2 linked regions of the Oryctolagus cuniculus genome follow. The protein of the gene in region 2 interacts with the protein of the main gene of each other region in a biochemical or structural test. Links are inferred from orthologs where the notes say so. Each region holds a gene or a part of one and is shown on either strand. Other genes may lie near its edges.

What was found.
Region 1: the proteins of CFLAR (region 2) and DEDD2 form a complex in vitro, tested with the Homo sapiens proteins (2 studies listed by BioGRID). The link is inferred for Oryctolagus cuniculus from reciprocal best matches to the Homo sapiens genes CFLAR and DEDD2.

The regions. Positions count from the first base shown.
Region 1 is NC_091449.1:12,806,524-12,810,808, forward strand, and holds the start of DEDD2 (DNA-binding death effector domain-containing protein 2), read right to left. Parts: upstream 2,832-4,285; 5' UTR 1,811-2,831; coding exon 1,571-1,810; intron 978-1,570; coding exon 611-977; intron 1-610. UniProt on the Homo sapiens protein: May play a critical role in death receptor-induced apoptosis and may target CASP8 and CASP10 to the nucleus. May regulate degradation of intermediate filaments during apoptosis.
Region 2 is NC_091434.1:38,896,908-38,901,138, reverse strand, and holds the start of CFLAR (CASP8 and FADD-like apoptosis regulator), read left to right. Parts: upstream 1-1,346; 5' UTR 1,347-4,231. UniProt on the Homo sapiens protein: Apoptosis regulator protein which may function as a crucial link between cell survival and cell death pathways in mammalian cells. Acts as an inhibitor of TNFRSF6 mediated apoptosis.

The sequences.
Region 1 (4,285 bases), on a different chromosome or scaffold from region 2:
TGCAAGCCCCTTAGCGCCCAGCTCCTCACCCGAGTGTGTGCCGGGCTTAGATGCTTGCCTCTCCCTCTGCCTGGAACTCCTAAGATCTGTGCAGGGCTGCAGTGCGGGCTCAGCTCAGCCGTCACCTTCTCTGAAAGGCGTTCAACGCTCATCCCACCTGGCGCAGCCTCTGTTCCCTCTGTTGCACTCCCCACTGTCTCTATTCTTTCAAGCTTCCTAAAACCACCTCAAAACAAGTTCCTCGTCTGTTTTACTGGCTGGTTCCCCACTAAATACAAATTTCATGAAACACACACCTCAGCCCCACCACCCTGTGTCCACACCTACGAGGGCAAACTGCCTCTCTGAGCAGGGTCTTTCCTGCCCCTGCACAGCGGGGCCAGCGCAGGACTGAGGACGTAAGGGGCTGGGCCACCACCGTGCCCTCCACTACGGTGGTCACAATCTTTATTACCGATGCAGCCAAATTCCACAAGCTCACCCCTCCCAAAGCCTTGTCTCCTCCCTCTCGCGTCTCTCACTGGCACTGCTGGGAGGACTGGAGCTGTGGGATGGACAGACAAGACCACAGCGGGGCCCTGCGGAAGCCTGCCCCCCCACTCGCCCCTACCTGGTCGGCGCCGCTTGCGCGCCAGGTGCGGCAGCAGGTCATGGCGGGCCAGCACGCGCAGGAGTTGCCCCAGCAGGCGCAGGTTGCTCTCGTCGCACTGCCCACGACGCTCCAGCTCCAACAGCAGCTCCAGACCGCTGCGGGCGCGGGCCAGGCCTCCGGCCGCCCCGGGGGCCTCGTCCAGCAGGAAGGCCAGGAGCTCCAGCTCGCACTCGGTCAGTTGCCCGCCCACCACCTCGAACATACGGTGAAGCGACAGCATCCCGTAGTAGTCTAAGCACTCATCCTCCTCCCAGCTCGGGGCCGGGGTCGGCCCGGACAGCGCCATTACCGGGGGAGGGGTGCAGGACAAGCTCAGAACCAGGGCCTAGAACCCACACGGCGAGAAGAGGGCACGGTGGTCAGCGACGCAGGGGCACGGACCTCGCACCGGTCAGAGCGAGCCCCCCCGCCCCGCGCCGCAGGGCAGGGCCGCCCCCGCACCTCCAACCGTCTCGGCCTCCCCCTCCCCCGGGACGGAGTGGTATCATCCGAGGTCCCCTAGTAACAGGTCGAGACGCCGGACCCCGCTCCTCCGCCGACCAGTCCGGCCGGCCTAGCCCGAACGCCCCTCCCCAAGTGGTACGTTCCGTACTGGTCTCCAGACCGACCCAGCGATTCGGCCCGAACCAGCCCCAGGGCCCATTCCAAAGCACCCCGTCTATCGCCCCGACTCTGAGCACTGCTGTCCGGACATGTCCCTCGGCTCGGTCCAGCAGTACCGTGCGACTGGCCCCACAGCCCCACCCAAGTGGCCCCCTCCAAGTGGGACCGACCGAGGCAGCCCTACGTCCCGCACAGGTGGTACCGTCCGAACCCCACTCCCTCGCCCCGACAAGGGCGGTCCCGGCTTCTCCCCAGGGCCCCGGGGGTTCCGTCTACCCCGCCACCAGTCGCCCTTAGGCCTCGCCCGATCCTCACCGGATTCCGGCGTCCGAGGACTCCCGGGCGACGGCCGCAGCCACTTGTTTTGGATCTTTCTGGCACCTTCTCTATTATTACGCCTGCGTCATCTCGCCCCTCCTCCGCCTCCCAACTCGCGCAGGTGCGACAGCCACGCCCCGTGCGCGCAGGCGCAGAATGAAGCCTCCTAGCACCGCCCCTCCCGGGCCGCCTGACCCGCCCCCAACCGAAGCTTCCTGGCCCGCCTGTGCTGCGCATGCGCAATCGGAGAGCTTAGCCCTGCGCCGCCGCTGGGCTGGGTCCTGCACCTTGGGGGCAGGGTCCCCGCTTCCAGCCGATCACTTGAGCCACCAGGTCCTGGTTGCCCCCACATCACGCCGTATTAGGATGACTCATCTCACGGAGCGCAGCACCCCTCCTGATCACCACCTAGACTCCCACATTTACTCCTGCCCTTGCTGCCCATGGCAAAGGGCCTTCCCAACTCCCCAGCTGCGCCCACTGGACCCTCCCCCACTCTTCATGGCAGCCAGGAGCCTGCTTCTTAACTGTGGGGGCTCAGGACCCCGACCGGGGAACCCCACCTCCACCCTCTGATGGAGACCAGGAATCGCCCATCTCGGGTTCGAGACAAAGCGCAGTGAACCCCGCCGTCCCGACTAAACCTCCCGGTGGCGCTCACCACGACTCCCCCAGGCACAGGGTCGGCGTGGACCCCGCAGTCGGAGTCACACAGTCGCGCCCTCCCCAGCCTGCACTGAGGAGCCTGGGTCCGGCGGGGGGACCCGCGTCCCCGGGCCTGCGAATGCTGCCCCCACTTAGTGACTCAAGGTCGAGTCGTGTCCCCTCCCCGGAATTATTTCCGCCTGGGAGGCGGCAGACGTGACTGCTGCTTGGGGTGCAGGGCTGTACTAGGAAGAGCCCCTCCCTCCCCTCTGGGCCTCAGTTTCCCCATGAACGCCTGCGGGATGGCCCCTGGCCGGACACGGAGCGGGCGCCTCCTCGGGGAACGGGAAAGCGACCTCGCCGACTGCGGCGAGCATGGCCGTGTTCGGTGGGTTCTGTCGGGCCCTCTGCCGAGCCCTTTTCCGTGTGTGGTTTCATTCCATCCCGTCAACGGCTTCTGACGTGGATGTGAGTCCGCAACACAGGCCCGGAGAGAGGAAGTACCCCACGTGTGTCTGGCCCCAGAGCCAGTCTCTCCAGCCGACCTGACACACTCTGATCGCGTCCACCGCCCCGGGCCCACGGGCGCCCACTTCTTTCGACTGAACTTTCGGCAGCGAAGGAGCGGCCCGGGAGAACTGCGCAGGCGCCGCGCCTCGGCCCGGGCCCCGCCCACAGGGCACGACTGTGTGCGTGGAGAAACTCGCAGAGCCCCACCTGAGCGCCAACGCGCAGGCGCAAGGGCGCGTGCCCTCCGCTGCCGGCTCTGATTGGCCACTACGGGTAAAGGCGCCGCCCAATGGGAGGCGTGGATAGTGAGGGGTCCCACACGCCTGGAACCGAGGGTCTGTGTTGAGAGCGGCAAGGGGCTGCTGGAGGCGAAAGAGACGGGTGAGGGCGCCGCGGGACGGGCCCGGGAAGAGCGCGCCGGGCGTGCGGAGAGGGCAGAGGGAGAACGAGCCGGACACTCGGGGTCGGAGGAGCCCTGAGGCCTGTTCCAGGGCGGAGACAGTGCGGGGTGGAAGGAGAGCGCCCTGGAGCGTGGTGTGCAAGACCCCGCGCTTGAGCCTGCTCCCTCGCCCGCAGCCCTGAAGGAGGGTCTCAGGCTGGTAGGAGAAAAGGGTTGTGGAGCGGGAAAGTTGAACTTCCAGGCCCCCTGGCTGGTTCTTTCCTGGAAAGACGCCGATCTACTGTACGAAAAGCCCCCAGCCCTCTCCCCCCCAGAGTTCACACTCCCAAGACTGGCGACGAGGAGGGTCTCCCGGGTCATCTCCTACAGAGGCATCTGTTGGGTACCCGGGAGTTCTCTGGAGCAGAGCTTGAACACGGAGAAACGGTTCTTGGGTCCCCGAGTCCCTGCTTGGCGGGATGACTCTCGTGTGCGGGACCCTGGCAACTCAAAAAAAAAAAAAAAAAAAAGCGAAGTAGGGCATGGGAAGAGGTAGACGAGGGGAGTTTAGTTCCTGGACTTTCAGGGACTCCTTTATCCAGGGAGGATGCATTGTGCACCAGCTGAATCCGGGGCCGTTTGTTAGGCCGCGTACTGTGGGAAGTCGCTGCCTCACGGGACAGTCGGGCGGGGGGATGTGGAAGGCGCACAGGGACGGTGGTGATGCCCAGGGGGCGTGGCTGTCGCACCTGCGCGAGTTGGGTATCTGCCCGGTGCCGGCTGTGTGCTAGGCCTGTGCGTGGCCGTGGAAGTTCCTCCCTGTTGGCAACTCCTGCTCTGCAGGGCTTAAGCCACTCTCCCCATGCCACCCCCCCCCCCCCCACAGCGCTAGCTGAGGTGAAGAAGAGATAACCAAGGTGGGGGGGTTGCATCCAGCTTTCCCAAGCTGGGGAGGGAAGCAGGCGTTTGCTGAGCGGCCTGCGAGCTCCTGTGCGAAGGGATCTGGGTTGGTCAGGTGCACACAAGCAGGGGTGGGGGAGACGAGGCGAACGGAGGGAAGTTTGAAAGCTCAGATCCCTGTCCCTGGTCAGTGGCTTTGTTGGCGACTGAGATCCCCCACACACACTGAGTCGGCCCAGTTCGGTCCAGTGAGACGGCATCCCGAGCCCGTGGTGTTT
Region 2 (4,231 bases):
GAAGAAGAAATTGCTCCTGTGATATTTTGCTTAAAATCTTATTTTGTCTGATATCAGCATAGCCACTCCAGCTTTCTTTTTTTTTCTTTTTGAAAAATTTATTTTATTTATTTGAAGGGCAGAGTTGCGGGAGGAGGGGAGGAGGAGAGAAAGAGAGAGAGAGAGATGTCTTCCACCTGCTGGTTCATTTCCCAGATGGCTGAAATGGCCAGGGGGATGGGTCAGGCCTTGTCCAGGAACCACAAACTTCATCCGGGTCCCCACATGGGTGCAGAGGCCCAAGGATTTGGGCCATCTTTGCCTGCTTTCTCAGAAGCATCTGCAGGGAGCTAGATTGGAAGTGTTGTAGCCAGGACTGATGCCTGTATGGGATGCTTTAACCATTATACCACAACACGGGTCCTATGAATTCCTAGATTCTAAATAACTTTCATCATGGTATATTTTCTGAATTTTATTTTCCTATTCATAATTGTTGTTAATATCTTACTGTGCCTCATTTATAAAATACTTTATCAAAGGTATGTGCATATAGGAAAAAACACAGTATATGTAAGATTGGGTACTCTGTGTATTCAGGCCTCCACTTGCAGTCTGAGAACACACACACAGACAGAGACACATGCACACACACACACCAGTAATGGGGAACTGCTGTAGTCACCTCTGTAACTCCTCTCCTGCTGTTCTAGTCCAAGGCTGTATCAGCATCTGCCTGGGAGAACCCTGGTACTCTCTCTGAAGTCTTCACGTCCATTTGTGCCCCTTCAAATGTGTTCCCCCAGGAACTGGACAGTGTCTTCCACATGCTAATATGATCCCAATGCCTCTACTCCATCTCTGTGTGTGTGTGTGTTTTAAGATTTATTTTAATTTGAGAGTCAGAATTACAGAGAGAGGGAGAAAGAGAGAGACATCTTCCATTTGCTGGTTCACTCCCCAGATGGCTGCAATGATCAGGGCTGGGCCAGGCCAAAACCAGGAGCCAAGAGCCTCATCCAGGTCTCCCATGTGGATGCAGAGGCCCCCCCCCCCCCCCCCGCTGCTTCCCCAAGTAGTTTAGCAGGGAGTTGGGTCAGAAGCGGAGCAGCCAATGGAGGAACCAGTGCCCATGTGGGATGCCTATGCTGCAGATGGCGGCTTTACTCGCTACGCCACAGTACTGGTTGTTCTACTCCATCTTTCACTTAAAATACTAAAGTCGGGCACCTTTACTCAAAATTTCAAGGGTTCTTGCTGTATATTTAGATCAGAATTCTAAATATCAGCTGCTTATAAATGAAACAGGCAACATGGTACAGTTTTCAGCCTGTATTCAGTGAGAGAAATACACAGGAAAGTGAGGGTTTTTTTTTTTTTTTTTTTTTTTAGGGGAAAAGAAGTCTAGAGTAGAAAGAAGTCTAGAAATTAAGTTGGGTTGATATCAGGCAGAGAGCAGGTAGGGAACCAGGTGGAGCAAGTGTGCAGTTAGGAGCAGCCACAGGTAATGTAGCGTGGGCAGAAAAGCAGAGAGCAGGCAGCCAGAGGCCACAAGCCCAAGGCTTAGTGAGGTGGAATAAGGCCATGCCAAGATGGCCGCTGGCAAGTGAGTGTCAGTTACTCAGGAATGGCTTTGAAACCCACCTGGCAATGGAGCCTGCCGGGCAACAGGCTGTGATTGGTTAGGGCATAGACCGCCCCTTGACCGGATTGGCTGCCTTGGCTATATAAGCTGTTGTACCAACTGAAATAAATGAGCCTTCGGGCTGCTCACCTCTGGCCCACTTTCACCCAACTCTCAGGGTCGTATGGTGACTTGCGCCTCTTGCCCCCACCACACTCCTCATCTCAGAACGAATCCATAGCAACAGCGTGGGACAACAAGGGGCCACTCCAGCTTTCTTTTGGTTGCTGTTTGCATGATACGTATTTCTCCATTCTTTAACTTTCATCCAATTTCTATTTTTTAATGTAAAGAATGCCTCCTATAAAGGCATACAATAGGAACATAGTTTTTGTTTGTTTGTTTGTTTGTTTGTTTAATGCTATATAGCAACCTCTGTCTTTGGATTATTTAATACCTTTTCATTTAATGTTATCATTGACTTAGTTGGATTTATTTATGCTATTTTACTTTCTGTTTTCTATGTTTCAGGTCTTTTCTGTCCCTCTAATCTGCCCTTCTGTGTTTTGGAATTGTTATTTTTGTCATTATTTAGTGTTTGCCCCAGATTTACCGTATACATATAATCAGAAGTAGGTTCAAGTTTATACTAGCTAGTTGCAGTTATTCCTGTATACCTGTATTCTCTCTTCTTTTCTTTTGTGGTATTTTACACAACATATTTAACATTAGTTAATGTTACACACCTAACAGGACATTGTTATAATTATTTCCTTACCATTTGTTCCCATTGTCTTAGTCAAATACAACTTTATTTCCACTCACTGCCTTTGTGCTATTATTGGAGGTTTCACATGTATTACATTCCTATATGTTACGGGCCCAACATTCCATTTTTTATACAATAAGTTAATAAGAGAAAATATTCACTTAAATTATCTTTTACAACTAGTTATAAAATTATCTCTCTGGTGCTTTTTGCTTTGTTTTGTTTGTGGATTTGAACTACTGCCTGGGATCATCTGCTTTCATCTGAAGAACTTCCTTACGTGTCCCTGTAAGACAGGTTTGCTAGCGTAACTTCTCTACTTTTTGCTCCCTTGGAAATGTTTTTATTCCACCTTCATGTTCATAAGACTGCTCTGCTGAGTAAAGGATTTTTGGTTGCAGCTTTTTCCTCTGGGAGGTTTGACTGCAATTTCCAGTGCTGCTGGTCCTTAATACTTTTACTGAGAAGTCATTGTTGACCTTACTGATGTTTACTGGTAATTAAGGAATTGTTCTCTTGCCCCTCTCCCCACCTGCCTTGTCTGACTTTGAACTTTTTCACTGTGATGTGTCTGTTGTGGATCTCGATGTGTTTACCTACTGGGACTTCGCCGAGCTTCCTGGGTGTGTAGCTTCCTGTTTCTCAATATATTTTTGAAGCTTACTGCCATTAATCCTTTGAATAGATTTTCCCCCCTTTGTCACCTTCCTCTCCTTCCAGTATCCTTATTTTATTGGTCCCACATTTCTCTGACACACTTTTCATTTTTCTATTCTTTCTTTCTGTTTCCCTTGGCTTTGTGTAGTCTCAATAGATTTATCTAAAAGTTAGTTTATTCTTTTTTCTACCAGTGCAGATTTCTTCTACTGTGGGGCCCCTAATGAAGTTATTTCAGTTACTATACTTTACAGTATTTCCAGAATTATGCTGTCCAGAATTTCTATTTGGTTTATTTTTATAATCTCTGCTGCTTTATTGATATTCTTTATTTGATGTAACATCAAATAGATATTATCATTGTAACTTCCTTTACTTTGGTTATACTTTTCTTTAGTTCTGTAAACATGTTTATAATGGCTACTTTGAATTCTTTCAAAATGATAAATCCAACATCCGGTCATTCTCACAGGTGGTTTCTGTGCTGGATTTCCCCTCGCCCCTGCTCCAGTGTGTGGGTCGTATTCTCTTGTCTCTGCGCGCCTCATAATCGTTTGTGAAAGCAGGGCACTGAACATAATGCACTGTAACAGCCCTCAGGACTGGTCTCTCCCCAGTTACTGTTACAGACTGTCCTGGTCTTCTGATGATTTGACTTAACACTTTTCTGGCTTTAGATATACAAAAGTGGTATGCATTTGAGAAGCAGCTGTACTTCAGATTTCGAATTTTGATCTGTTCCTAGGGTGGCAATATGGAGTACAATTCTCTATCATGATATTTTCAACAGTAGTAAGCCATATCTCCCACTAGACCACGGATCACAAGGGTATACTGCACTGGGTTGCTAAGCTGTGATGGTTGGTAGGTTAGATGTATTAAATCCATCTTGACTAATGATAGTTTCAACTTTTGGTGGGTTTGTAAGATAAAAACCCTATCATAAATTGAGAAGCATCTGTTTTTGCTTGTTTAGTGACTGCATTACCTGAGGCAAATTCACTGCATACCACCAGCACCACACACAGTTTTAGTTTTTTAAAGTTGTCACCTTGGATGGCAGTGGCTTCTGACAGAGCTCTCTTCCTCTGGTTCCCTGACCACCTCCAACTGTTAAACTCCGCTAACTGCTGGCTTTGTTCCTTTGTTTTTAACAGTACCCTGGATATAAGTAACTATATAAACAAATCCAATCAAATGTG